Macaca mulatta: one gene and its partners. The protein of the gene in region 1 interacts with the protein of each later gene in a pairwise test. Links are inferred from orthologs where the notes say so. Each region holds a gene or a part of one and is shown in the gene's direction. Other genes may lie near its edges. The genes, in order: SDCBP2, PTMS, ZCCHC17, PRR13, ZRSR2, NPM2 and LYAR.

Region 1 (3,500 bases):
AAGCTGAGGTGGGAGGATGGCTTCAGCCCGGGAGTTGGAAATTGCAGTGAGCCAAGATAGCGCCACTGTACTCCAGCTTTGGCAACAGAGTGAGACCCTGTCTCAAAATAATAATAATAATAACAACAACAACAACAAAACAGGACTGTGAGAGGCACATTTGGGACTTCTGGTCTTTGTTTCATCCAGGAAGGTGGGTGTTCTTAGGATACTAGAGCTTTACAAGGAAAAAGGTGGAAGCCCAGGTAGAATGCGCTGCTTTTGGCAATATTATTGAGCTAGCCTCCATGCTAGGGGTTAGAGGCTTCACAGCAAAGGAGAAGCCCCTGTTCCTGCCATCTTGGAACTCCTAAGGAGGTAGACAGACAAGTAAAGAGGCAACACAGGACTCGTGAATACTCAACAGGAGTAGGACATGGCGCAGGGGCTAGGGGGAGAACAAATGAAAGCAGGCTTCCTGTAAGAGGAGCTTGCGGATCTGAGACTTGAAAATCATTAGGAGTTGGCCAAGCAAGGAGCAGGGAGAGGAGGGGTATTCCAGATAGAAGGAATAACACATGCAAAAGAGACGGGAGGGAATCACATTCAAGGATGTGAAAGTAGCTCATTATGGCTGGAGCTGAAAGTAGCAGCTGAAAGGACATAAGGCAAGAAATGAAGCTGGAGAAGTAGACAAGGGTTACAAACAAATACCTATCGGGACTTGGCGCCAGTGAGTACAATGGTCTGGGTGTAAGAGCCAATAGAGGATGGTGGACTGGGTCACCCTGGAGTCTGCTGCTACTCAATTGTAGCTACTCTGCTACAGTCCAGGGTTGCCAAAGCTTCCTGTTTTTCAGGAGCAGTGGGAAATTAGATTATTAAATCTAGTACCTTGAGCCTTGCATTTAAGCTGGTAATCTGAACGTTGACAGTACTCCACAAGGTCAAATAAAATATATTTCCATCTGGCCCTGAGCCCACCAGTTCCAATCTCTGGTGGAATCGTGAAGGCCCTGTGAGCCACTTTAAGGAAAGTACATTCCCAAGGCAGGGGAGCCACTGGGGGGCTTTCAGCCAGGGCATGACATCCCAAGTGTATACACAAAGGGCCTGGTGGCTGCTGTCTGGAGAGGAGCAGGAGGGCAGGAGGGGAGGCAGCAGCATGTTTGGAGGGTGTCGTGGCACCTGGGGAGGGCCAGGGAGATGATGGGGACCTGCACAACATGGGATGTGGGAAAGATGGGATTTGATGACAGATGAGAAGGGATAGTGGGAGTGGGGCCAACGATGACACGGGGGTCAAGGCAGCAGGTGCAGAGGGAGGAGAAGGAGCAGTGATGGATGAGGATGTCCTCGGCGCACCTGTGGTCACTCAGGGAGGTACCCAGCGGATCTGGTCCTGGGAAGCCTGGAGTCACATCACCCTGGCACAGGCCCCTCAGTTTCCTGTGCCACCAGCAGGCATTCCTTTATCATGTGTACCTATCATATGTGGGTTCAGTGGGGTGAATAGGACACACCTTGACCCCTCAGAACTGCAGTCAGGACAAGTGGTGAGTTCAGGCAGGAGGCTGCCCCAGTGCTGTCCTGGAGGGCAGGGTCCTGGATGGTAGGGGCAGTGACCGTAGTGCCTGGAGCCAGGCAAGGCATGTCCCACAGGAACCGAGGGTGACAAGGAGGTTGGACAGGGGCTCCAGTGGAAGTGGACTGCCTCAGCGAAGCCTGGGAGTGTGACAGAGCCAGTGGTTAGTGGGTAAAGGGAAGGAACCCAGAAAGGCAGACTGCTCCTTCCCCACGTTTCGTCAGGAAGGGAATAAAACATTTCTTGAGAGGTCATTCCTTTCACTTTCTCTGGGTACGTTGCTGAGAGGTCCTGCTGATTCTCCCGGAGACAATGATAAGGTGTTTAGTAAATAAGTGCTCATGGTGCCTCTCCACTCCCCGTTCCCTCCTCCCTCTGGAGCAGTGCCCTGTTGAGGGTCTAAGTTCTGCTACAGTTTGTGTGAGAGTCTTTATAAATCTCCTACTGGTCTTACTTCATTGTGGCCAAGATTGAAAGTTGACAGTGAGGCTAGAGATGGGTGGAATACAGTAGAGTTCGAAAATGGAGAGGGGATTAGGGGTGGAGTTCGGGGAGGGATTCTAAGTGTCCTGCTGCCTTCCTGTTTGAATATTAAGTTCCAACCCACTTGCTGTTGCAGATGTCTGTGCCTCCTCTCAAGGTGGCATCAGCTGCATCCTTATCCTTCCCCACCCTCTGAACTCTGCAGGGTGTTCCAAGAATCAGCCATGTCATCCCTGTACCCATCTCTAGAAGACCTAAAAGTGGACCAGGCCATTCAGGTAAGTCACCAGACTCCACTCATCTGGACTCCCTGAAGGGGATCTTGGGGATTATCCTGGAAGGTGCTGGGAATTGGGGCCACCTGGAGATTCCCTTAGGCCTCAGGTCATGTAGGTCTCCACTGCAGGGCCTGCTGGGCAGAGAAGACATCCAGGGGGCAATGCCAATGGTGTTACAGCAAGAACGGAAAAGACCAAGCAGCTGCACACATGCCTCTCTCATGCCCACTCTGTCCTGCCCAGGCCCAGCTCTCCCTCTCTCCAGAATGGGCAGGCCCCATGCTCTCAGGCAGGCTTTCAGAGGAAACAAGGCTCGTGGGCATGGGCATTGGTCTGCTCAGCCCCCAGAAGCCCCCTTCTTCCTCCATCCCAGCACTCTGTGGTTCCAGTGGGTTTTGAGAATTTTGGACTTTGCAGCTGAGAACTTGATTGGGAGATGGGTCTTGATGTTCTGCCTGTTGCAGGCAGTAAACGGGTTGTGACATCAGTTGGGTCACAGTCCCTCAGAACCTCCTCCCAGGAAAAGACACATCCATGGAGGCCATGTTTACATGATCTTCAGCCCTGAGGGTTGGTGGACACTTCCCCCACACCCCAGGCCCACTCACAACCTAACGCCCAGACCCTGGCCTCATGGAGCTCCAGGCTCTGGGGTTCCTGGGGTCCTGGCCACAGCTGACCAGTGCTCCCTGCTCCTCCCCAGGCCCAGGCCAGAGCCTTGCCCAAGATGCCAGCCCTGCCAGTCCAGGCGGCAGCCATTTCCCCACCACCAGGTAGGTGAGCTGGAGTGGGGGGCTCCTGGGTGCCCAGTCCTTTCAGGGAAGAGGTCATCAGGGAAGCTTGGCAATGCCAAAGGTATGGGAGGCTCCAGGGTTAAGCACTCAACATGGAAGGAGGAGAGGACCAGGCTCCCAGTTGCCACCGACCTCTTACTGCCTGGTTGACCTGGGCTGAGTCACCTCACCTCCTAGGGCCTGTGCCCATGCTATTCCCCTCCCTCCTTGACTGCCCAGTGAACCTGTTTATCCTTCTAAACCCAGCTGAGAGTTAGCAAAGCTGCGGCCTCTCTGGTGCCCCCAGCAAGGCTGCCTTGAGAATGTGATATCATTTGTGGGGCCTCTGTTTATACAAACGATTCGAGTCACCATAAATCAGCATGTCAGCACCGTCTGGTG
Region 2 (4,168 bases), on another chromosome or scaffold:
GAAATTCTCAATTGGACTGTAGAGTAAGGTAATTCTAGGAATAGGCAAGCCTCCACAAAGCCTCAGAAATAGTTCCATGGAGAAAAGCAAACACAGGCATTTAACACCGTTGGCCCCAGAGGCTTGAGGCTAACCCCTAGGACTGTCGGGTGGCTTTCAGATCCCACTCACTCCACATTCATCCCAAGTCTCACTTCCAGCTTCTTTCTCATGAAGCCAAGACTTCAGAAGACTGGCTTGTTGTCCAACCAGAGAGAGAAGGCTAAAGGATGCTTCATCCACGCAGGAAAGGAATTCGATCCAGGCCTCCAGCTTCCTAGACCTTTTCCCTGGGGTCCCTCGGACCCTAGTGTCCAAGCTCTTAGATTCTCAAGGCACTCCCTTGGGCTTTGGGGCAGGATTCCCATTCTCTGCCTCTCCATCTCTCTGGAATTTTCCACTGCAGCTGCCTCTGCTCCCAGACACCCCTCCCTGGGCAAAATTCCCGGCTCCCTCCGCCTCCCCTTCCCTAATCACACCTCATTCCCACCCCCAGCCCTGAGGCCCAGCCCACAGTCCGGCCCACAGCCCACGCTAACCCTGGTGGTCCCAGTTAGAGAAGTGGGAGGCCAGGCCCCTTATGGAAGGGTGAGAGGGAGTGTCCCAGCCTCTCTTTAGGGCGGGGAGAAGGGACACTGGAGGGGCTGGTCCCCTGTGGGGCTGGAGTTGGGGGAGTGGCCCATCTCACATCCCCATATAAGGCAGGGCAAGCAGTTAGGCTTCTGGATTGGCTGATTCAAATGAGCATTCCACCTGGCAACAGGGTTTCTATTGGCTATCAGGAAAAATAGGAGGAAGGTGGATGGAGGTTGTTGGTGGCGGTGATTGGAGGGGGGAGGGGAGTGGAGGTGACCGGAGTGGGGGGCGGTTACCAGGGCAACAGGGTAAGAGCCCAGCAGGGTGTCCGAGACAGCAGGCGGGGCTGGGAGGTGGAGTGGAGGGAAGAGGAAAGGAAGGCGGGAGGGAGAGGAAAGAGCCTGATGGGGAGGGAGCGAGACTGGGAGACTGGGTTGGTTGGGGGGGGAGTAGCAAAGGATCGAGGAGAGGGAGATAAATGAAGCAAGAGGAGTACAGAGATGGAGATGGTGAGAGACGGCTGAAGACATCAGCCAGTGAGTCAGAGAAACAGATTGAGAGAGGGACATGGAAAGATCTCAGAAAAGATAGAGTCCGGCAAGGAAAAATCCTGGGTGGGGCCCCAAGATTTTTGAGGAGACTGAGAATGAAATATTGATAGAAAAGTCAGAAAGAGAAACTGGGAGGCGTGTACATCAAGGGACCAAAAGATGGTGTATTTAAGCACTCCAACACAAAATAATGATAATGATCATCAAAATGGTTTTTTATTAATAAAATGAAAATAAGATGAGGAATAATGATAATGACAGACAAATATAGGAGTGCACGCACACCAAAGGACTTTTTCCAAACCCCAGCCTTCCACCCCGTCCACCTTCCTGACCTTTAATACACAACCCAGCCCCTGTTCCCTTCTGAAATCCCAAGCTTTTCAAAATGACTCAAAGATACCGAGATTGAGGGCGAGGAGCTGAGGATGTCTGGAATAGGGTGGGGCTGGAACTCCAGACCTGGACCTGTATTATATTTGCAAAGGAGGCAAATATAACCCAGAAAGGCTAGGGAAGATGGCAGCAGAGGAATGAGAAAAGCTAACGGACGGCAAATGTAAAAAATGAGGACAGAAAGAGGAGTTGAGGAAAGCCAGCCAAGAATAGAGGGCCAGGTGCCTGACTCAGATAAGACAAGAGCAGGGTTGTCTGGGAAAGGTAGGGAAAGAGACCAGAGGTGTAAGGGCAGAAGAGGGTCAGTAAGGAGTGGAGAAGAGGTGAGAGAAGAATGGGAGCGATTCGAGTTATAATTGGTTGTGAGGGAGGGGTCTGGGTACAGATGACTGAGGACAGATGAAGAGAAATAGAAGGACCAGGCGAATAAAAGTGAGGTGACAGGCGAATAAGAGAGGTAGAAGATGGAGGAGAGCTGGAAGCAAAGGAGACCAGGGGCCTGACTCCCTCCAGCTCACAGCACGGGGACAGGAAGACAGGCACCCGGCAAGGGTCACAAGTGTCAATCTGGCGGGAGGGAAGGCTGGGCCGCCCTTTCTGCCCTCCCATCCCTCAAGGCCATCCAGAGAATGTGGATGGAGGATGAGAGGGGGAAATCCGGCGTGGTGTGGAAGGAGCGCCCGAACCCTATTCCTCTTCTTTAAGCTTTTGGTTTCTCAAATACCTGCCCTATCTTCCCATCTGCTCCCCTCACCCCACCCTTTGACAAAATCCCAGGGCTTTTTTTGGGGTCAGTAGGATTCTGGCCACCTCTCCAGTCCGCCCCCAAAAGCCAGACTCCACATTCGCAGGCAGTAGGTTGGGATTTGGAAAGGTGCCTCCCCGCAGGAACCCCACCCCTTCCCACCTCCTCGCCCCACTCTTTCTCCGCGGCCGTCAGTCTCTCCATTTCCCCCTCCTGGTCTCGTCCTCCCTCCCGACTCTCTAGCTCTCCCTCCCCTCGCTTTCATCCTCCTATCCCCACCTCTCCAACCTCCTCTTTCATCCCCCTCCCCTCTCCTCTCCTCCCCGCTCCCGCCTGCCCCACCCCTGGGAAGCCCCTCCCGTCGGGCAGCGCCGCCTTATAAGCGGGTTCCCTTCCCGGGGGCGGCAGCGGCTGGTCGGCGGCAGCTCTGCTGGTGCGGGGGTGGCAAGCCCGGGACCGAGCGACCGCGGCCGAGCGCGCCGGCCACCGCCTGCACCGCCCTTCCGCCCGCCCTCCGGACGGCCGCAGCCCTGCGGGTCTCCGCTCCAGACCCACCCCCGCCCCACCCCGCGCGCCTCTGCCGCCTCTTCCAGAGACCCAGCTTGCCGAGCGGCCGCCGCTGCCGCTGTCGCCGCCGCCGCCGCCACCGCGCCAGGTTCCGGCCGCGGCCACCCTCCGCCGTCCAGGGCCCCTCCGTCTCGGCTCCGGGACCCCGGCTCCCCGCCAGCCCCGGCCCCGGCCCCGGCACCGGCACCATGTCGGAGAAAAGCGTGGAGGCAGCGGCCGAGTTGAGCGCCAAGGTACGGGCGGGGGCAGCGGCGGCCCGGACTTCGCGTGGCCCTGGGGCCCGGCGCGGTCCTCCGCCCCGGGTCGCCCCCGACGGCCCTGCGCGGCCCTCGCGCCCGGGTCCTGGCGGACCCCACTGCGCCCTCCCACCGCTCCCCGGCCCGGAGCTGCCTTCCCGGCTCCGCGCGGCTAGCGCCAGCGCCCTCTAGCTGCCCTGCGCGCACCACGGCGCCCGGCCTCGCCGCTCCGGTCGCGCCGGCCCCCGCAGCCGTCCCCACCCCTCTTCGGCCCCACCTCGCTGACCGGATCCCGTCCGGCTTTCCGTCCCAACGCCCCGAGTCTCACTTTGCCGCGCCCCCTCCCTGCGCCCCGCTGCCGCGTCTCTCCTTGCAACCCGACCTCACCTTTCCTCGCTAAGCGGTTTGAGATCCTCAAGTGTAAACAGGACTCTCCCTGGAGGCTACTCCTCCCGGCCCCTCCCCGCGGCCCGACCGTCGCTCGCTTCTCTCCCCGGACGGCGGCTGCCTCTGTTTTCTCGTTCCCTCCCCTCAGCTGGCTTTCAGCTTTATTTTTTCTTCATCGTCCCTTTCCCACATACACACTGGAAGAATCTCGAATTCCTAAAAATTAGAAGCGGGGCAGGAATAGCCTTCGAAAAAGCCGAGGCTGGGCATTGCATGGCATTGCGTCGAGCTGTCCTCGCCCTCATCAGCTCCCTTCCCCTGCCCCATCCGTTCGCCCTTGCTTCTCTTCCAGCCTTCTCTAATTTCCCCAGGGAACCTTCGGAGTGTCGCTTTGGGAAATTAACGCGGCCGGGGTTTGGGGGCTGGGAGCCCTATCTTGTGTGTGTATGTGTGTGGCGGGGCGGGTTGGGGCGCGGTGGTTGCTGAGGGGCCGTCACACTGGTCTCCCGGAGGCCAGCGAAGTGAAACGGGGGGAGCCAATGGGATTAACGGCGGTGGGAGAGGGGCTGTGTGCGATCTGCCAAGGTGCGCCCGTGTGGCCCTCCGGCGGGCTGTGCGGTGGCATGTGACTTCACTGAGTAGGTGTCTTTGTATGTCTGAAATCCAGCGAG
Region 3 (3,995 bases), on another chromosome or scaffold:
ACGGCTTAGGCCATGAGGCAGTGATGGAAATGGTAGAAGTAGCAATTCTAGATCTATTTTGAGAACGGTGCCAGCAGGATTTATTGAGGAGATGAGAGGACACTCGTATTTCCTCGTCTGAGCCTAAACAGGGCATTAGAAGTGTGATCACTATTTCCATCTTACAAAAAATATAGTTAGGAGCATGGTTTCTCAGTTCAACATCTGTTTCTATCACGTGCTTGATAAGTCTGCTTTTCCATCTGCAAAATGGGTTAATAACGTTCCTAACAGGCTGCTACCAAGATCAATGGAAATTTCATATACGAAACACCTTAGTACAAGAGTCAACGAATGTTAGCTGCTATTCAGTTGTTAATAATACTAGTGCAGAGAAATAAAGGGAAAAGCAACTTGCCCAAAGTCCCAAAACGAGCCAACACCAATCATTTCCCTCTTTTCCTCCCTCCCTCATTCATTCATTCTACAAAGTCTTCGGAATTTCTGTTCTACGCTAGATCCATGTTAGAGTCAGGATGCTTAAGCCCGGGTCCGGGTTGTGAGCCCAAGGTTCTCAACGCTAATTCTAACGCTACCTCACAAGGCAGTCGAGAGGCTGAAAACCAGCGCCAAACGGGCGAACAAGTACTGAGCATCCGCAGGCTATGAGGCGCTTTTACAATGTTGGTGTGCTTTAACTCTAGGTAGAAACTCTCGTTCTGCCCCCCGCAATGCGGGAAGGGTCGGTGCCGGGTCACCAGATACAGCGCTCTGAGGGGAGGAAGATGAGCTGAGGGCCAAAGGCCGCCTGCTTCTTCACTTACCGCTTGCAGCAAAGCTCCCGGCGTCGCCTGCTGCTGCCCGGCTCCCGGGCCCGACCCCGCTCCCAGTAGCAACTCATGCCGCTGCCGCTTGACTGGAACCAGCGGCAACTCTGGGCCCTTACGCTTCTGTTGTTCTATCATGGCGGCAACCGGTCTCTTCAGCGCCGCCACTGACCGCGCTGCCCCCCTCAGGCGCCACGCAATTGGTTCCAGCTTAGTCCTTCCTCCACAACTTCCAGCTTGGAAGAACCAATCGGTTTTCAATATACCCATTTGCACTGCCCTCGGATAGTCTCTTGTTATTGGGCATATCTTTCTGACGTCATGAGAGTGCGATTCCAGGATTGGTGGACGGAGCTGGCGACCTCCCTAGGCGCGCTGGGTCTTGTGGGTGGAAACGCGCTGGCTGACTGGGCTCGGCGTTTAGTTCAGCGCCGGGACTCGGGGGCCTGGAGCTGACGCCTAGTACGTATGAGGAAGAGCTGGGTGGGTGGCAGCCTGAGTCTGAAGGCGACGCCTCGGTTGTGCAGTCTGAAGCTGCCCTTCTCAGCTGAGGGTGCCGATAGCAAGGGGTGGGAGGCGGGGCCCCGAGTCCCCAGCTGTGGTAAGTAGTAGCATGGGCTCCCTTTCCGGGCGGGAGCGGAGCCTTGGGGGTCTCTGGCGGCAAGACCCAGTCCCTGCGGCTCCCTTCTTCAAGAGCGCCCGTCGTGGCCAGTCCTGTGCCGGGCATTCCCAGGGAGAAAGGCCTGTGTCCCAACTTCCTCCGGCGCCCCGTTTGGCCGAGGAGGCTGACTTGTTTCTGCCACTGATTTTGCAGTTTTTGATTAGGGCCTAGTCTCTGCCCCCCTGAGAGAGACAATGATGAAGGAAATGTCCGACTCCTTCTCCAGAGCGCAGTCTTGTTGAGAAATTTGAGACTCATGCCCATGAACGTGGTCATTGCGTCAGTCGTCCAGCTGATATTTATTTAGCAGCGCGTTGGGGGTACGTCGTGAACCAGACACGGTCCCTACTCTCAGGGCGTTTAAGTCTGGTGGGGAAAACGTTAAACAATGACCTCACTAATACATGGAAATGCCTCCTAGTGCTGTTTGATGCTGAGTGCCTGAAATAAGCAGGAAGGTTTTTCAGAGGAAAAGATGCCTGCTCTGGTAGCTGCAGGAAGAATTGTAATTAATTAAGTGAAGAGGTAAAGGCAGAACCTTCCGTAGAGAACTACTTGTTCAGAGCCCTGAGGCACTTGGGAGGAAAAATGACTAAAAGCACAAAGAGCCAGTGTGACTGATACAAAGAGAATGAAGGGGAGTATGGTACAAGATGAAGCTGTACGTGATAGCGGTCAGACCTTGCAGGAATTTGTAGCTTTATTTTAAAACGGATGGGATACCACTGAGCCGTCTTCCCCCGGTGGGGTGTGGTGGAGGAGGGGGCTTGATTTCTCAGGCTCAGTGGTGTGAACAGATTGGGGCTGGGGAAGCCCTAGTCGATACATGTGGACCACTTAGGATATACAGTAATCCTGGTCAGAGATGTCAGTGAGGACTGAGAAGTGGGTGGAACTGCAGAGAATTGGACAGATTCTAGAGGTATGTAGGAGGTAAAATGGGCGGAACTTGGTGAAGGGTTGATTTTAGTGAGTGAAGACAGGAATCAAAGGTAACTCATAGGTTTCTGGCTTATGTAGTTGAATAGATAGATGGTGGTACCATTTACTCACTATCACGGAATCCCCCAAGCTGGATAGGGAACACTAGAAGACGACTAGAGACCAGTTTTTTTTGTGTTTTTTTTTTTTTTTTTTTTTTTTTTTTTTGTGGGGGACAGGTTCTTGCTCTGTCGCCCAGGCTGGAGTGCGGTGGCACAATCTCGGCTCACTGCAACCTCCACCTCCCAGGTTCAAGCAATTCTCCTGCCTTAGCCTCCCCAGTAGCTGGGATTACAGTCGCCACCGCTATGCCCGGCCAATTTTTGTATTTTTATTGGAGATGGGGTTCCACCGTATTGGCCAGGCTGGTCTCCAACTCCTGGCCTCAAGTATCCACATGCCTCGGCCTCCCAAAATTCTGGGGTTACAGGCTTGAGCCACTGCTCCCAGCTGAGACCAGTTTTGACTGATTGATTGATTGTGTGGGGTCATTCATGATATCCAGGAGGCAGTTTGAAACACAGCTTTGTGCTCAGAAGAGAGATTTGTGTTGGGAATATAAAATTGGGGATAATTTGTATGTATGTGAATTGAGCCATAGGTGTGGATAAGGTCACCTAAGTCAGAACCTTGACTAGTTCCAACATTTAATGGTGAAGAACAGGTGGATCAACCTACAGGAGATACAGAAGGAAGGAAGGAAGACTGGAGGAATGTTTCAGAAGCAAAAGAATGATTTGTGATAGAAACTTCTAGAATTTAAATAACATGAAGATTGAAAAATATATTTTGGCTTTTATCATTGTGGAGGTCATGGTAACGTTAGCAAGAGTTATTTTGTTGGTGTGATTGGGCAAAAAGCCAGATATGAGGCAAGGATTTGGACAAGAAAATGTAGGTAGTGAACCTACACAGTATGTTTCATAGATATGATTGTAAAGAGGAGGAGAGGATGCGCTAACTGATGGAGATAAGGGATTATCCAGGATCCAATTGAGGATACAATTGTGAGAAATTTGAGAATATTGTAGAAGATTTGAAAGTCATTGTGGAGTGTGGGAGAATGAGGTTACTAGAGAAATAGTAGGATGCAAGGAAAAAAAAATTAAAAACTTTTTTCCAGCATATTCAGTGGTTTAGTGCATACATGGAGAAAACCTGTCTGGGTATGGCAAGGACATCGCTTGCTCAAGACACATTCTAACCTCTAATATGTCTTCTCTTACTGAAAAATTTGGAAAACTAAAAACCATTTTCTAGACTCCTTTGCATCTAAGGTGAAAATTGAATTTGGAACCGAGTTAAATGTGGAGAGAAGGAGGGTATGAGTCATCCAGTTTTGCTGCCAGTCATGGCAGTAAGTTCTCCAGTCAACAGCTCCCTGGTTTGGTGACTTGCTGCAGTAATAGCCATAACTTTCTTGGATTGTGGCAAAGGTGGTGTTATTTTGTGGGTTAGGTGTTGTTCCTGGAAGTTCTGCCAAAGTCTGTTATTGCAGTACATCCCTTTCTGCTTAAATGGGTTCTGTTGTCTGCAACTGTCCCTGA
Region 4 (4,088 bases), on another chromosome or scaffold:
TTACCCAGGTTGGAGTGCAGTGGCACGATTTCGGCTCACTGCAACCTCCGCCTCCCGGGTTCAGCGATTCTCCTGCCTCAGCCTCCCAAGTGGCTGGGATCACAGGCACATGTCACCACGCCCGGCTAATTTTTGTATTTTTAGTAGAAACGGGGTTTTACCATATTGGCCAGGCTGGTCTCGAACTCCTGACCTCGTGATCCGCCCGCCTCGGCTTCCCAAAGTGCTTGGATTACAGGCATGAGCCAATGTACCTGGCCACTTGTATTGTTTTCTTTAAAAAAAAAAAAAAAAAGTCTGGGCGCGGTGGCTCACGCCTGTAATCCCAGCACTTTGAGAGGCCGAGGCAGGCAGATCACGAAGTCAAGAGATGGAGACCATCCTGGCCAACATGGTGAAACCCCATCTCTACTAAGAAATACAAAAATTAGCCGCGCCTGTAGTCCCAGCTACTCGGGAGGCTGAGGCAGAAGAATCGCTTGAACGCGGGAAGCGGAGGTTGCAGTGAGCTGAGGTCGCACCACTGCACTCCAGCCTGGCAACAGAGCGAGACTCCGTCTCAAAAAAAAAAAAAAAAAAAAAAAAAAAAAAGAGGCCATTGTAGCAATTCAGGGGAGAAATGAATCCAGGCGAGAGATGATGGGAGGTTTAGACCAGGGAAGACGGAGAGAAGTGGAGAGATTCCAGATGTATTTGTGAGACAAAACTGGTAATTTGGGGTAAGGGAGGTGAAGGAGACAGAGGGATCACGGAAGACCTCCTTGGTTTCTGGTTTAGGCTTCTTGACAGATGGCGGAGCTATGCAATTGAGAGAGGGAATCCTGGGAGAGATTATGAAATCTCTGTATTTTCCGCAAGAATGTTTGTTTGCTTCCCTTGCGAGTGTAAGAGGGAGCCGAGAACATTGAGGCTTGGGGCTAGGACTCAGCAGCTCCTCTGCCCTTGCCGAGAACTCTGTCTATATCTGTATTACAACACTTACCATAGTGTATTCACTTTACAAGGTATTGCACCCAGTGAACCATGACTAGCAGAGAGCAAGGGCAGAGTTTCTTCTCGGTGTCTCTAGGACTTTGCCCAGCAGCTGGCCCCGCCCCCTCTAGCGCTCTCCGCCTAGCTCCGCCCCCAGGAGATTTCCGGCTTCTCAGTACTTGCCTAGTCGTAAAGGGCTCCGGTCTGCAGCTAGAGCAACCGTTTCCTCCTCAGTTGGACCAGAGTGATTGATTAGTTTGTTGTCCAATCATCAGCCGAGTGGCCACATAATTACCAATTAGGCAGTAGCAGAGGCGGGTACCGAAGCACGGGGTCTGGGTGACTAGGTGTGACTAGGAAGTAAGAGCCGAGACTGCGAAGAACGCATCAAGTCCAGGCGGCGGTGGAAAGGTGACGTGGTATCTGAATTCCATGGGTTTATTCCTTTTCCCATTGCTGGGTTAAGAGCCCCTTCGCAGCTTGGGGCTAGGATCTTCATTTGCCTTTTTTCTTTTTTGGAGGAATTGGGCTGTGTCCATTTATTTAAGTATTTGAGGTTCTTGAGCAACTTCCTTCTTCGCCTCCAGGCGTATCCTTTTCTTAGCCTGAGGTGAGGTCCTCCCCAGGGAGAAAGTTGTTTGAGATCCTTTCTTACTCTGTGGGTGGTTAAAGGCCTCCGGACTCAGTTCCAGGAAAGGGGGATGAATGATGGGGGTGCCGAGACTCGCGGGCTATGCCCTCTTGCGAAGAGTTAGACGCTTCAACCTAGGTGGAGGGGCCCTGGGAACTAGATTCCTGTGTTAGGAACCAAGTAGGTATTGAGGGCGAAGAAACAAGTGGAAAGAGACATTTCTTTCTTTTTTTTTTTTTCTTCGAGGCGGTGTCTCGCTCTGTTGCCCAGGCTAGAGTGCAGTGGCGCGATCTCAGCTCACTGTAACTTCCGCCTCCCAGGTTCAAGCGATTCTCCTGCCTCAGCCTCCCGAGTAACTGGGATTACAGGCGCCCGCCACCGCGCCCGGCTAATTTTTAGATTTTTAGTAGAGACGGGGTTTAACGATGTTGGCCAGGCTGGTGTCGAATTCCTGACCTCGTGATCCACCCGCCTTGGCCTCCCAAAGTGCTGGGATTACAAGCGTGAGCCACCGCGCCCAGCCAGAAAAGAGATGTGTCTTATGTGGAAGTCGTGGTAGTTCTCCAGGTGGGAGAGCCTACTGTGGGGTGGAAGACGTTAGGGCTGGGCTCCGGTGCTAAGTCCACTTCCTACCTCTAGACTGTCATCTTTTTTGCCTCATTTCTTTCTCCTCAGGCTGGAGGACACACCTAAACATGTGGAATCCCAATGCCGGTAGGTGTTTGGGGGTTCTGTACGACCCCTAACCCTTTTTCTGATGGACTCTGCGTAACAGGAAGTTTCTCTATCAGCTGCCCCATCCCCGACCCGCCACACCCGCAAAAGCAAAGTCCTTAGTCTACAGCTGACCAGTGCTTTTTTATTTTATTTTATTTATTTATTTTTTGAGACGGAGTCTCTGTCGCCCAGGCTGGAGTGCAGTGGCGCGATCTCGGCTCACTGCAACCTCCGCCTCCTGGGTTCAAGCGATTCTCCTGTTTCAGCCTCTGGAGTAGCTGAGATTACAGGCGTGCGCCATCACGCCCTACTACTTTTTGTATTTTTAGTAGAGACGGGGTTTCACCATGTTGGCCAGGCTGGTCTTGAACTCCTGGCCTCATGTGATCTGTCCACCTCGGCCTCCCAAACTGCTGGGATTACAGGCTTGAGCCACCACGCCCCACCGGCCTGACCAGTACTTTTGTCTTCCTCAGAGTTCACTGTCTCCCTCCTCTCTCCAGCCCTTACGGGGACATTCCCCTTTTATCCTCAACTCAGGTTTGTCTCCCCTACCTTCTATTCTCCTTTGTCACTTTTCCATTTCCCTTTAAGTATTGGGTGAGAAAGAATCTCTTTCTTTTTGTTGTTTGTTGTCGGAGACTCTGGGGAATACTAATGTTTATAATCTGCTTCTTCCCCCAGGGCAGCCAGGGCCAAATCCATATACCCCCAACATCGGGTGCCCTGGAGGTTCCAATCCTGCCCACCCACCACCTATTAACCCACTCTTTCCCTCAGGCCCCTGTCCTCCTCCCCCAGGAGCTCCCCAGGGCAATCCAGCTTTCCCCCCAGGTGGGCCCCCTCATCCTGTGCCACAGCCAGGGTATCCAGGATGCCAACCCTTGGGTCCCTACCCTCCTCCATACCCACCTCCTGCCCCTGGAATCCCTCCTGTGAATCCCTTGGCTCCTGGCATGGTCGGACCAGCAGTGATAGTGGACAAGAAGATGCAGAAGAAAATGAAGAAAGCTCATAAAAAGATGAACAAGCACCACAAGCACCACAAGCGTGGCAAGGTCAGTACCCTCTGGAGCCTGGCTAGGGAAGGGGTGCCCCCTCAGAGGGACTAGGTAGGCAGGGGTTGGGTGAGGGGGATTCACATTCTGTGGACGTGGGGGATGACGATTGTGTCACTCTGGTCGATGATTCTTCCTTTTTGTAAAAGATTGCTACTGGGAAGAATCTGATTATCTTGAAAAGAAACATCAGGCTTCTCCTATCTGGGGGGAGCTAGGGTGAGCCTTAAAATAGATTTTTAGAATCAAAAGCCAAATCTTTTCTGCCCTACTCTCTCCCAGAACTTTTGCTCCCCTCCCCGCAGGTGCATATTCTAGCAAGTTGGACCCCCTCACTGACATTATCAAAACATCAATTAAAGTCATTCCTTTGACAAAGCAAAGTCTTATAATAATTAACAGAATAATAATATGGCCCTAGTTCCTGGAGTTCTTTCTCTCTTTCAGTGTTCTTAGGGCCTTGTGTTAATTACATGGGCCCTTTGCCCTATCATCCAGCAGAAAAAGTGAGGACAAGAGCAGTCAGTGACTCAGCCTCTAACAGCCTAGGACTAAGGAGGTTTTATACTCAGCCCCAAGGCTGAGTATCTTTGTTTTAGAGGACTGTTAAAAATTAGTAAGGATCATGCCTGTAATCCCAGCACTTGGGAATTATTAGCTGGGTGTGGTGGCGCATGCCTGTAATCCCAGCTACTCAGGAGGCTGAGGCA
Region 5 (3,500 bases), on another chromosome or scaffold:
TAATTGTTTTTGAAAGCAGAAGAAAAACAAAAAAATTAACAAATGTAAAAAGGGAAAGGGCTTTAATAATTGCAACACACCCAAAGATAGCCACTGTTAAGAAAGAGAAAAGGAAAGTATAAATGTACTTTACATGGGTCTTTCTATAATGGCATGATATTTATACGTATTTTTCTATAAATTGCTTTCCTGCTAAATATATAGTGCATTTATTTAAGTCCTGATGCAGGGATCTAATTCAACCATTTCAGTGGCAATACAGTACCCACTGTACAGAAGTAGCCTAATTTATTTGCTATTCGTAGTTTATTCATTCGTAATTTATAGTTCTCTACTGATAGACTTTCAGGTTATATTGGTTTTTTACTCATATGTAAAAAGTTGCAGTAAGCATCCATGTTTATATATCCTTGGTAATCGTCAAATTATTTCCTTAAGAAAATGACTAAAAATGAGATTGTTGGAATCAAAGCGTAAGTTCCTGTAAAATGTAGATGGCCAGGTAGAAAGGGCTTCCTGGTTTGCAGTTTGCAGCCCTTCTGGCAGTGAATGTAGGGCCCCATCTCCTCATACCTTCACTCATACTAGGCACTGGCAGTTTATACAACTCCTGTAATGAAAAGTTGTATTTCACTGTTTCAAATGCACATTTCTGAATTAGGAAGAGTATCTTTTTATATGTTTTATTACCTATTTGTAGATTGCTCAAGTCTTACACCTTTCTCTTTTGGGATACATGTTTTTTTTAAATTTTGTTTTGTTTTGTTTTGTTTTGTTTTGTTTTGTTTGAGACAGAGTCTCGTTCTGTCCCCAGGCTGGAGTGCAGTGGTGTGATCTTGGCTCACTGCAACCTCCACCTCCCAGATTCAGGCGATTCTCCTGCCTCAGCCTCCCGAGTAGCTGGGACTACAGGCGCGCACCACCACGCCCAGTTAATTTTTTTTGTACTTTTAGTAGAGATGGGGTTTCACCATGTTGGCCAGTATGGTCTCGATCTCTTGACCTCGTGATCCGCCCACTTCGGCCTCACAAATTGCTGAGATTACAGGTGTGAGCCACTGTGCTCAGCCGAAATTTCTTAATGTCTCTAAGCTTCTGTTTCCTTGTCTTTACTATGGAGATAAAGTCAATCATAGTATCCACCTCACAGAATTGTGAAGATTAAATGAGGTGATGGATGTATAGTGTTTAACACAGTGTCAGCAGATAAGAGGTGCTGTGATAGCTCTAGTTCTTATTATAGATTTCTGTTGTGATGAAGACAATAGATATGGTATTAAATAAGAAAGTAATTTTCTTCCTGTTTATTTGAAATGCTTCTTTTAAATCACATACATGTATCTTTGTGCTCCTTAGATCTTTATTTCTTTATGAGTTGCATACTATTGTTGAAAAGCAAGAAAATTATGTAAAAATACTGTACGACTTTATGTCCTATTTCAAAGCAGATGTATATTCAAGTTATTAAATTTTAAAATTTTTAACATTTTACTTTCTTGTGGTCTTTATATATCATTTGGTTCAGTTATATGCAATTATATGTTTTTCAAAAGATTCGTAAATCAGAGCTGTGCACACTGAAGCATCTGTATGGTGCCCTCACACATGGCATGGGAACACTGATATAGGCAGTGTGCCAGCCTCTGCCATGGCTAAAAGACGTGTTCCTGGAATCTGTATTTGGAAATGTAATATGTTTTATTTAAAATTGTGGTTAGGTCCCCAGACTAGACAGAAAAGTTTACTGAACTCCTGATACTGCTGAAGTAATACAGAACAGTTTCTCATATTTCATTTCCCTTTTATAAATTCAGTGGAAAAATGAATTTGGGGTTCTAAACACCTAATTGGCAAGTAGACTTTAGAAATCTAAGCCCCGCTTTAGATTAGAAATTTGTGATATTGGATGCCTGAGACACTTGCCACTTTAAGGTAATACCACTCATTATAATTGGTCATATAAAAAATAGACTAGACACTCACTAGTTTATTTTTACTTTTTCATTTTTTGAGACGAAGTCTTGCTCTGTCATCCAGGCTGGAGTGCAGTGGCATGATCTCGGCTCACTGCAGCCTCCGCCTCCCAGGTTCAAGCGATTCTCCTGCCTCAATCTCCCAAGTAGCTGCGATTACAGGCGGCTGCCACCTTGCCCAGCTAATTTTTGTATTTTTAGCAGAGATGGGGTTCACCATGTTGGGCAGGCTGGTCTCAAATTCCTGACCTCAGGTGATCTGCCCACCATGGCCTCCTAAAGTGCTGGGATTATAGGTGTGAGCTATTGTGCCCGGCCCTCACTAATTTATTTTTATAACTTCATTTCTTAAAACCTGTAGCTTTATTTTAAAAACATGATCACAATGTACTTTTATTTTCCTTCTTTTGGCAGTTTAGGTGTTTGGAGGCAAACCACAGGAGTCTCTTAACTGTGTGGAGTAGTAGTCCAAACGTTTATGGCAGAGGATAACGGGTTTTCAGCGTGCTGCCATCATGGAATTGCTACTTTTAAGAATAGGGGCTGGGTGCGGTGGCTCACACCTGTAATCCCAGCACTTTGGGAGGCCTAGGCAGGTGGATCACTTGAGGTCAGGAGTTCAAGACCAGCCTGGCCAACATGGTGAAATGCTGTCTGTACTAAAAATACAAAAATTAGCCTTGCATGGTGGTGGGCTCCTGTAATCCCAGCTACTCAGGAGGCTGAGGCAGGAGAATCACTTGAACCCAGGAGGCGGAGGTTGCAGTGAGCCAAGATCACGCCACTGCACTCCAGCCTGGGCAACAGAGCGATACTCTGTCTCAAAATAAATAAATAAATAAAAATAATTGCATAGAATAGGAAGGGAAATGCTTTCTGAATGCGAAAAGGTAGATGCTGCTTTGAAACTTGCTACCCATTTTATTGGCACCTAAACGTCACTGTGATCAGTCTAGAGGGAAAGTCATAGTGTCCTTTTTTTCTGTAAAGTATGTCACAGCCATATATACCTATGAAATGTAAGAGGGATTTTAAGTTATTGCCCATTAGGAAGATAGTTGCTGACACGTGGTGCTTTTCCAAAAGCTCTACTCTTCTCGTTCTCTTACACCCACTTGACTGCTTTAATAGAAAATAGCTTTCGTGATATTTGAATCAATCCCAAAATGTGTCATTTTGCTCTCGTGTGTGTGTATTTGTGGATTAATGCCCATTTCTTTTGTCTGATTACATCATTATACTGATAGGCAAAGATTACATGAGGAGTGGTTGCTAAGAGAGCAGAAGGCACAAGAAGAATTCAGAATAAAGAAGGAAAAGGAAGAGGCGGCTAAAAAACGGCAAGAAGAACAAGAGGTACGGTAGGAGTCACGTAACTAGTGAACAAACTGATTACTTCACCATAATAACTCTCATGAAGAGCTGCCTATCTTGGGAGGTCGAAGTGAGCCGAGATCGCGCCATTGCACTCCAGCCTGGGCAACAAGAGCGAAACTCCATCTCAAAAAGAAAAAACAAAGAGTTGCC
Region 6 (3,945 bases), on another chromosome or scaffold:
AGCTGGGCATGGTTGTGGGCACCTGTAAACCCAGCTACTCGGGAGGCTGAGGCAGGAGAATCGCCTGAACCCGGGAGGCAGAGGTTGCAGTGAGCTGAGATCACACCACTGCACTCCAGCCTTGGTGATGAGAGTGAAACTCTGTCTCCAAAAAAAAAAAGAAATAATGTTGAAGGTGATGGATATCCCAGTTACACTGATTTGCTCATTACGCATTGTGTGCAAGTATCAAAATACCATATGTACCCCGTAAATATGTACAATTACTATGTATCAGTTAAAAAAAAGTTAATGAGGATGGTACCAGTATTATAGCCTCATTTAGCAGATGAAGAAACTGAGGCACTGAGACATGAATTAACACACCTGAAATCACAGAGTCCAGACTTGAACCCAGACTGTCCAGTTCCAGTCTCCCAGCTCTAGGTCATGACCTCAGGGTCATCCCCCTCCCCTGCCTCCATTTAGCCTTCACTGTGAACCCCAGCTGCAGCCTCACATCAGTGTGATTATTCACGGGGAGGGTGGCCTGGGGCCACTGAAGACCGGTTTGCTTTGAGCCCTACTCTCCAATGAGGCTGGAAGCCCTTTGAGGGGCTGTTTCGTATTCACTGCGGGATGCACAGACCCCGCCCGGCTGGCGGAATCACCGTTTGTTGAGTGAATACTTGAACGTCTGTGCATGGCATGCATGTGCCTGCAATTTGCTCATCTTTACCACACACTTGGCTGCAATGGCTGTCACCTCCAGTAGGCCCCCTGCCAAGGACAGAGATCTCAGGGACAGTCAAGGAGACTGGAACTGCTCAGCTGAGGACAGGGAGCCTAGGGGGCCCTGGCAGGCCCCCAAGCCTCTCCTGGGTTGTCCTGGCCAATTCACAGGGAGGTTGACCCCAGCTCCCAGGAATAAAAGATTCTGACCTCTCCGTAGCAATGAGCCCCTGCCCCAGAGGTGTGCGGGAGATCCCTGGTTATCTGAGGTGTCTCCAGGGTATATCCGCTGAAACCCCCCCTTCTCTTCACTGCCTACTGAGCCTGGGACCCGCTGCTGGTCACGTGCTTGGCCCTGTAGCGTCGCTAGCCGTGCTCCCCAGTGTGCCCCCCGCCCCCTGCCGCGGAGCCTCCCTGCTCCCCTCCCCACCCCACCTGCGGGCTGTGGCTCTCCGCGGGAGATCTCACCGTTCTGGAGACAGGGCTCGCTCTCTCTCATTGGAGACTGGAAGGACGGGCTGTCTGGGCCTTAGGAAAGGCCCATGCTGTATAAGGCATAGGGAAAGGAAAGGAAGAAAGGCAACGAACAAGGAGCGCTTCTAACTGCCGCTTCCTGCCAGCTGCAGGCCTCCCTTCCTAAGTTGGGCTAAGGTTTCCTTTCCATGGGCTGGGGAGGGGTCGCCAGTAGGCCTCGGCGGGTCCTCTTTGGCTCGGACAGCCGTTCTCACGAAGGGTCCTGGGCCGGCATCATCAGTTTCACCTGGGAACCGGTTAGAAAAGCAAATTCCCTCGGCCCCACCCAGACCCACGCCAAGGGCAGCTGTGGAGTGGGGCGCAGCGATGCGCACATTAACAGCCCTCCAGGTGATTCTACCGCGCAGAGGAGGAAACAATGGGAGAAGGGAAGGGGAGAGGCAGGCGGCTTCTTTGCGGCTGATTGGACACCTGCCCTTCCCCTTCCAAGGCTTCTTAGCCCGGCCTTGGGCAGCAGCCCTCCGGCCAGCGGGGATGAGGTTGCGCTGCGCTCCGGGAGCGCCAATGGCGTGACTGGCCCCGCGCGAAGCAGCGACAGTAAGGCTGAGTGGGGGGAGCTGGGACCTAAGCCGCGCGCACACCCCTTTCTCTGCGCCTGGTGGAGGTGCACAGAGGCTTTTGAGTTAGGCCCAAGCGCAGCCAGGTGACCTCCCCGCGGGCTTTCAAGCCTGGGCTCGGTGGACAGCTCCCTCTCGCGTGAGTCCGGCGGTCCTCTCCGCGCCCGGCCGAGCCCCGGGCTGCGCGCCCCGCTGGGAGGTGGGTACTCGTCCTCCAGGAGTTGGCGGTGAGCCCTTGACCTTGGCGGGCGCTCTCCAGCCGCGAGCGACGCCTCAGTATCTGCCGATGCCTGCCGGCCTCTGGCATCCTCCAGTCGAGGGTCAGGGTCAGGGAGCAAGGCCTCACGCGGGCGCCCTCCTTGCAGCTGCCCGGCCACCCTGCTTCTCCGCCCGGAGCCATGAATCTCAGTAGCGCCAGCAGCACGGAGGAAAAGGCAGTGACGACCGTGCTCTGGGGTGAGTGGGAACTCAGGCTACTTCCCAGAGCCACGCCCCACCTCCGGTGCGCGGCAGCTTGGGGCCCAGGTGAGCCCCTCCCTCGGGAACGAATAGAGGGCCCCACTTCCCTCCCTTTCTCCTCCGCAGGCTGCGAACTCAGTCAGGAGAGGCGGACTTGGACCTTCAGACCCCAGCTGGAGGGGAAGCAGAACTGCAGGCTGTTGCTTCATACGGTCGGTGTTCCCAAAAGAGGGGAGGAGGATGGAGTCCGGAGACTTTCTGGTCCCAACAGAGGACTATGGGTTTCTCCCGTCTGCCCTCAGGGTGATGAGGGGCCTCTGTCTATTTTCAAACCCGCGCAGATTTGCTTGGGAGAGAAAGCCAAAGAAGAGATGCATCGCGTGGAGATCCTGCCCCCAGCAAACCAGGAGGACAAGAAGATGCAGCCGGTCACCATTGCCTCGCTCCAGGCCTCAGTCCTCCCCATGGTGGGCCTTTCCCTGCTGGCAGGAAAACTGCTGCCAGCCCCAGCCTCACCCTCACCCTCACTCTTGGGTGGGGATGGACACACACGAGGGTGCATTCACCCTACAGAAGTGAGCCATGCCAGGGAGGTAGCACAGCCCATGCAGAAAGCTGGGGTCCAGCCCAGCTCACCCCTTCCTAGAGCTGTGTGACCTTAGGCAAGTTAAGCTGTCTGCAAAAATTACACTTTAAATCAGGGGTCCCCAACCACCGGGCCAAGGACCAGAATCCGTCTGTGGCCTGTTAGGAACCCGCGGCACAGCAGGAGGTGAGCAGCCAGCTAGCCAGCATTACCCCTGAGTCCCGCCTCCCATCAGATCAGAGTGGCATTAGATTCTCAGAGGAGCATGAACCCTATTGTAAGCTGTGCGTGCAAGGGGTCTAGGTTGCATGCTTCTTATAAGAATCGATTGCCTGATCTGAGGTGGAGCAGTTTCATCCCAAAACCACCCCCTACTCCCACCCCATCCATGCAAAAATTGTCTTCGAGGAAACCGTTCCCTGGTGCTAAAAAGGTTGGAGGCTGCTGCTTTAAACCATTCACTGCTAGTCACAGGAACATGGTCGATCTACATATTGGTTGTGTATCCAGAAATGCTGTAGTTTCTAATAATTCGTCTCAAGTTTTCTATGCATATAATAATTGAATAATGGCAGTTTTTCCTTTCCTTTTTTTTTTTTTTTTTTTTTGAGATGGAGTCTCACTCTGTCACCCAGGCTGGAGCACAATGGTGCGATCTCAGCTCACTGCAACCCCCGCCTCCCAGGTTCAAGCAATTCTCCCGTCTTAGCCTCCCAAGTGGCTGGGATTACAGGCATGTTCCACTACGTCCGGCTAATTTTTTTCTTTTTAGTAGAGATGGGGTTTTGCCATGTTGGTCAGGCTGGTCTCAAACTCCTGACCTCAGGTGATGTACCTACCTTGGCCTCCCAAAGTGCTGGGATTACAGGCATGAGCCACCACACCCAGCCAACCCGTCTTTTTTCCCATGCCCATATCTGATCTACCAGCAGTCCTGTCATCTCTGCCTCCATCTTATACCCCGATGGACCACATCTCATCATCTTCCCTGCTACTCCGGTATAGGTGACAGTTGTCTGTGGCTCCATTCTAATTGCTGGGCCTTCCTACCATCACATGGTCCCCTGTAGTCTATTCCAGGGTAGGCAAACTAGAGAG
Region 7 (3,198 bases), on another chromosome or scaffold:
CACCCAGTGGCACATCCTCGTGCAGAAATCTCCACCAAGGTTCCACCCTCCAAAGTGAAAGATGCCGTGGAACAGCAAGGGGAGGTGAAGAAGAATAAAAGAGAAAGAAAGGAAGAACGGCAGAAGAAAAGGAAAAGAGAAAAGAAAGAACTAAAATTAGAAAACCACCAGGAAAACTCAAGGAATCAGAAGCCTAAGAAGCGTAAAAAGGGACAGGAGGCTGACCTTGGGGCTGGTGGAGAGGAAGTCCCTGAGGCCAACGGCTCTGCAGGGAAGAGGAGCAAGAAGAAGAAGCAGCGCAAGGACAGTGCTGGTGAGGAAGAGGCAAACGTGGGTGCAGGAAAGAGGAAGCGGAAGCACTCAGAAGGTAAGTGGCTGGCTAACGCTCCAGGATTCGTCTGAAAACCGGGAAAGCTGTGAATTTGGGGTATTTAATCCTGTTAGACCTAGTGTTGTGTGTGTGTGTGTGCGCGTGTGGTTTTAATGTTTTGTTTTTGTTTTTTTTTTTTGAGACAGAGTCTCGCTCTGTTGCCCAGGCTGGAGTGCAGTGGCACGATCTCGGCTCACTGCAACCTCCACCAAGCGATTCTTCTGTCTCATCCTCCTGAGTAGCTGAGATGACAGGCATGTGTCACCAGGCCCGGCTAACTTTTGTATTTTTAGTAGAGATGGGGTTTCACCATGTTAGTCTAGCTGGTTTCGAACTCCTGACCTCTGGTGATCCGCCCCTGTCAGCCTCCCAAAGTGCTGGGATTACAGGCATGAGCTACCGCACCCAGCTAGACTTTGTGTTTTGAACCAAGTAAGGGAACGAGCATAAGCTTTGTGGCCAGGCTGAGCTGGGCCCTGCCCAGGCAAATGACCTCACTTCTCAACTCCCTTCGTCCCATCTCCAGCATGGAGGAGGATAAAACCCTCCTGGCGTTTTGTAAACCGGGGCTGGCTAGGCAGCCTGGAGAAGAAATGAGATGATAATGTGGAGCGTGCCTAGCTCGCATAAGGTCTCATTAAATGGTAGCTGCTAGCATAAATGCAAAATCTTCTTTAAAAAAAACCTTTCCAAATACTTAGTTGAAACAGATTCTAAGAAGAAAAAGATGAAGCTCCCAGAGCATCCTGAGGGCGGAGAACCAGAAGACCATGAGGCTCCTGCAAAAGGTATATCACTGCTGTCATTCCAAGAGCACAGCTGCGCACAGCGGCTCTCACTGATAGTCCCAGCTACTTGAAAGGCAGGGGCAGGAGGGTCACTTAAGCTCAGGAGTTTGAGGCTGTAGTGAGCCATGGGCATACGACTTTCAAAAAGAAAGAGAGAGAGAGAGAGAAAAGAAATGCACGGTCCCTTGTAGGTTGGGAGAGGGGCCGATAGATGCCCCCTTCTCGGGGAGGAAGGTGTAACCCGGGAACTTCTGATAGGGTCTTACCCTCCAGAGGCATGTATAAGAATTTGAAAGTAAAATCAGCTCTCTAGGGTGTATGAGTCAGTCTTACAGTGCCTCTCACCCACTGTCTTTAAGGAGAAAAGTAAAGCAATCTAGTTTGGAAATGTATGTTATCTTGGGAATTTAAATAAACCTAATATAGCTTTCTGAGACCGTTCCCTTTCGCTCCTCCCCAACTCTCTCGTCCCTGCCTTTCATTGTCCTTTTAGAAGTCCCCTCAGCTGTGCCCCTGCCCATCTCTGGGCCTGTTTCTGTGATCTCCTTGCTTATATCTTCAACCTCAGAATCCAGTCCCTGGCCTTCACGGGCCCTCTGAAATGCTGCCTCTTACACAAAGCTTCTCTCCTGCTTCCTCAGGTCTGAAGCACTCACACCTGTCGGGAGGTGGCAAGTCGTCATCTCTCTGCCACTTCCCCCAACCCCCAGGATCCCGCAGTTCAGAACAGGTCCAAGGACTCAAATGGGCCTGCAGCTTTATTAGCAGAGTTCAGTGACTCCCAGCGTTGGGTTAGATCCCTTAGCTTAAAACCCCCTTCTCAACTTTGTAAACAGTAGTGCCCCCATATCTGTGGTATGGAAAATTCCAGAAATAAACAATTGATAAGTTTTCCATTGCTTGCTGTTCTGAGCAGCATGGCGAGATCTCTTGCTGTCCTGCTCTGTGCCTTCCTCACCACAAGAAGGGTGAGGATAGTACAATAAGGTGTTTAGAAAGAGAGACCACATTCATATAACTTTTATTATAGTGTATTGTAAAATTGTTGTATTTTATTATTAGTTATTAATATTTTACTGAGCCTAATTTATAAGTGGAGAATTATCATAGATATGCATGAATATTGAGGAAAAGACTGTATATATAGGGTTCAGCACCATCGTGATTTCAGGTATCCACTGGGGGTCTGGGAACTCTGATCCCTACAGTTCAAGGGGGACAACTGGAACGGTTTTTTTGGTTGTTGTTGTTGTTACATTTTTTGTTTTGAGATCCTTGTAGACTTACATGCAGTTGTAAGACATAATGGAGACTCAGGCGTCCTTATGTATCCGCGTACCCTTTACCTTGTTGCCACCCAGGATAACACTTTACACAACTGTAGTACAGCATCTCAGCCGGGATGTTGACATTGATCCGCTTCTGTTTCCATCGCCATCGCACAAGGCTGCCTCCTGCTGCCCTCTTGCAGCCATAGCCATTTCCCTCTTACCCCCACCCCCTCCTTAGCCTCTGGCAATCACTCATCTGTTCTTCATTTCTGTAATCTCAGAATGTTCTATGAATGGAATCATACAGTATGTAACCTTTTGAGATTGACTCTTCACTCAGCATTTTTCTCTGACGATTCACCCAGGCTGCTGAACTGATAATATTCATGTTACTGGTGAGAAGTATCCCATGCTATGCATGCGTCACACTTTCTTTCATCATTCACCTGTTGAGGGACACCTGGGAGGTTTCTAATTTCTGGTTATTAATGAATAAAGCTGCAGTAAATATTGATGTGCAAGTTTCTGTGTGAACTAAGTCAGTTTTTCTGAAGTAAATTTGAGTTGTTTGGGGGTTTTTTGGTGGTGGTTGTTTTTGTGAGATTTTTTTGTTTTTTTTTTTTACTGTTGAGATTTGAGTTTTTTATTCTAAATATTACTCCTTTGTGGGACATATGGTTTGTGAATTTTTTTCAGTCTGTTGCTTGTTTTTTCATCATAACAGAGTCTTTTTTAGGGCAAATGGTTTTGTTTTGATAAAGTTTAATTT

The links.
Region 2: the proteins of SDCBP2 (region 1) and PTMS interact in a two-hybrid assay, tested with the Homo sapiens proteins (2 studies listed by BioGRID and IntAct). The two-hybrid records come from large-scale screens. The link is inferred for Macaca mulatta from reciprocal best matches to the Homo sapiens genes SDCBP2 and PTMS.
Region 3: the proteins of SDCBP2 (region 1) and ZCCHC17 interact in binary tests that used the Homo sapiens proteins (3 or more experiments, as listed by UniProt). The two-hybrid records come from large-scale screens. The link is inferred for Macaca mulatta from reciprocal best matches to the Homo sapiens genes SDCBP2 and ZCCHC17.
Region 4: the proteins of SDCBP2 (region 1) and PRR13 interact in binary tests that used the Homo sapiens proteins (3 or more experiments, as listed by UniProt). The two-hybrid records come from large-scale screens. The link is inferred for Macaca mulatta from reciprocal best matches to the Homo sapiens genes SDCBP2 and PRR13.
Region 5: the proteins of SDCBP2 (region 1) and ZRSR2 interact in binary tests that used the Homo sapiens proteins (3 or more experiments, as listed by UniProt). The two-hybrid records come from large-scale screens. The link is inferred for Macaca mulatta from reciprocal best matches to the Homo sapiens genes SDCBP2 and ZRSR2.
Region 6: the proteins of SDCBP2 (region 1) and NPM2 interact in binary tests that used the Homo sapiens proteins (3 or more experiments, as listed by UniProt). The two-hybrid records come from large-scale screens. The link is inferred for Macaca mulatta from reciprocal best matches to the Homo sapiens genes SDCBP2 and NPM2.
Region 7: the proteins of SDCBP2 (region 1) and LYAR interact in binary tests that used the Homo sapiens proteins (3 or more experiments, as listed by UniProt). The two-hybrid records come from large-scale screens. The link is inferred for Macaca mulatta from reciprocal best matches to the Homo sapiens genes SDCBP2 and LYAR.

The regions. Positions count from the first base shown.
Region 1 is NC_133415.1:82,831,960-82,835,459, forward strand, and holds part of SDCBP2 (syntenin-2), read left to right. Parts: intron 1-2,183; exon of another isoform or gene 2,184-2,252; 5' UTR 2,253-2,271; coding exon 2,272-2,325; intron 2,326-3,028; coding exon 3,029-3,098; intron 3,099-3,500.
Region 2 is NC_133416.1:7,727,907-7,732,074, forward strand, and holds the start of PTMS (parathymosin), read left to right. Parts: upstream 1-1,368; 5' UTR 1,369-1,732; coding exon 1,733-1,885; intron 1,886-2,713; exon of another isoform or gene 2,714-3,062; coding exon of another isoform or gene 3,063-3,107; intron 3,108-3,818; exon of another isoform or gene 3,819-4,168.
Region 3 is NC_133406.1:209,563,716-209,567,710, reverse strand, and holds the start of ZCCHC17 (zinc finger CCHC domain-containing protein 17), read left to right. Parts: upstream 1-1,195; 5' UTR 1,196-1,268; exon of another isoform or gene 1,269-1,274; coding exon of another isoform or gene 1,275-1,394; exon of another isoform or gene 1,395-1,407; intron 1,408-1,693; exon of another isoform or gene 1,694-1,787; intron 1,788-1,942; coding exon of another isoform or gene 1,943-1,954; intron 1,955-3,995. Other genes in the region: SNRNP40 (U5 small nuclear ribonucleoprotein 40 kDa protein), read right to left, coding at 804-944.
Region 4 is NC_133416.1:60,591,756-60,595,843, forward strand, and holds the start of PRR13 (proline-rich protein 13), read left to right. Parts: upstream 1-1,288; 5' UTR 1,289-1,383; exon of another isoform or gene 1,384-1,391; intron 1,392-1,493; exon of another isoform or gene 1,494-2,170; intron 2,171-2,278; 5' UTR 2,279-2,298; coding exon 2,299-2,317; intron 2,318-2,796; coding exon of another isoform or gene 2,797-2,860; intron 2,861-3,004; coding exon 3,005-3,378; intron 3,379-4,088. UniProt on the Homo sapiens protein: Negatively regulates TSP1 expression at the level of transcription. This down-regulation was shown to reduce taxane-induced apoptosis.
Region 5 is NC_133426.1:15,480,108-15,483,607, forward strand, and holds part of ZRSR2 (U2 small nuclear ribonucleoprotein auxiliary factor 35 kDa subunit-related protein 2), read left to right. Parts: intron 1-3,220; coding exon 3,221-3,329; intron 3,330-3,500. UniProt on the Homo sapiens protein: Pre-mRNA-binding protein required for splicing of both U2- and U12-type introns. Selectively interacts with the 3'-splice site of U2- and U12-type pre-mRNAs and promotes different steps in U2 and U12 intron splicing.
Region 6 is NC_133413.1:23,669,819-23,673,763, forward strand, and holds the start of NPM2 (nucleoplasmin-2), read left to right. Parts: upstream 1-1,145; 5' UTR 1,146-1,551; coding exon 1,552-1,575; intron 1,576-1,577; exon of another isoform or gene 1,578-2,167; coding exon 2,168-2,258; intron 2,259-2,387; coding exon 2,388-2,473; intron 2,474-2,602; coding exon 2,603-2,728; intron 2,729-3,945. UniProt on the Homo sapiens protein: Core histones chaperone involved in chromatin reprogramming, specially during fertilization and early embryonic development. Probably involved in sperm DNA decondensation during fertilization.
Region 7 is NC_133410.1:8,736,146-8,739,343, forward strand, and holds part of LYAR (cell growth-regulating nucleolar protein), read left to right. Parts: coding exon 1-367; intron 368-1,071; coding exon 1,072-1,158; intron 1,159-3,198. UniProt on the Homo sapiens protein: Plays a role in the maintenance of the appropriate processing of 47S/45S pre-rRNA to 32S/30S pre-rRNAs and their subsequent processing to produce 18S and 28S rRNAs. Also acts at the level of transcription regulation.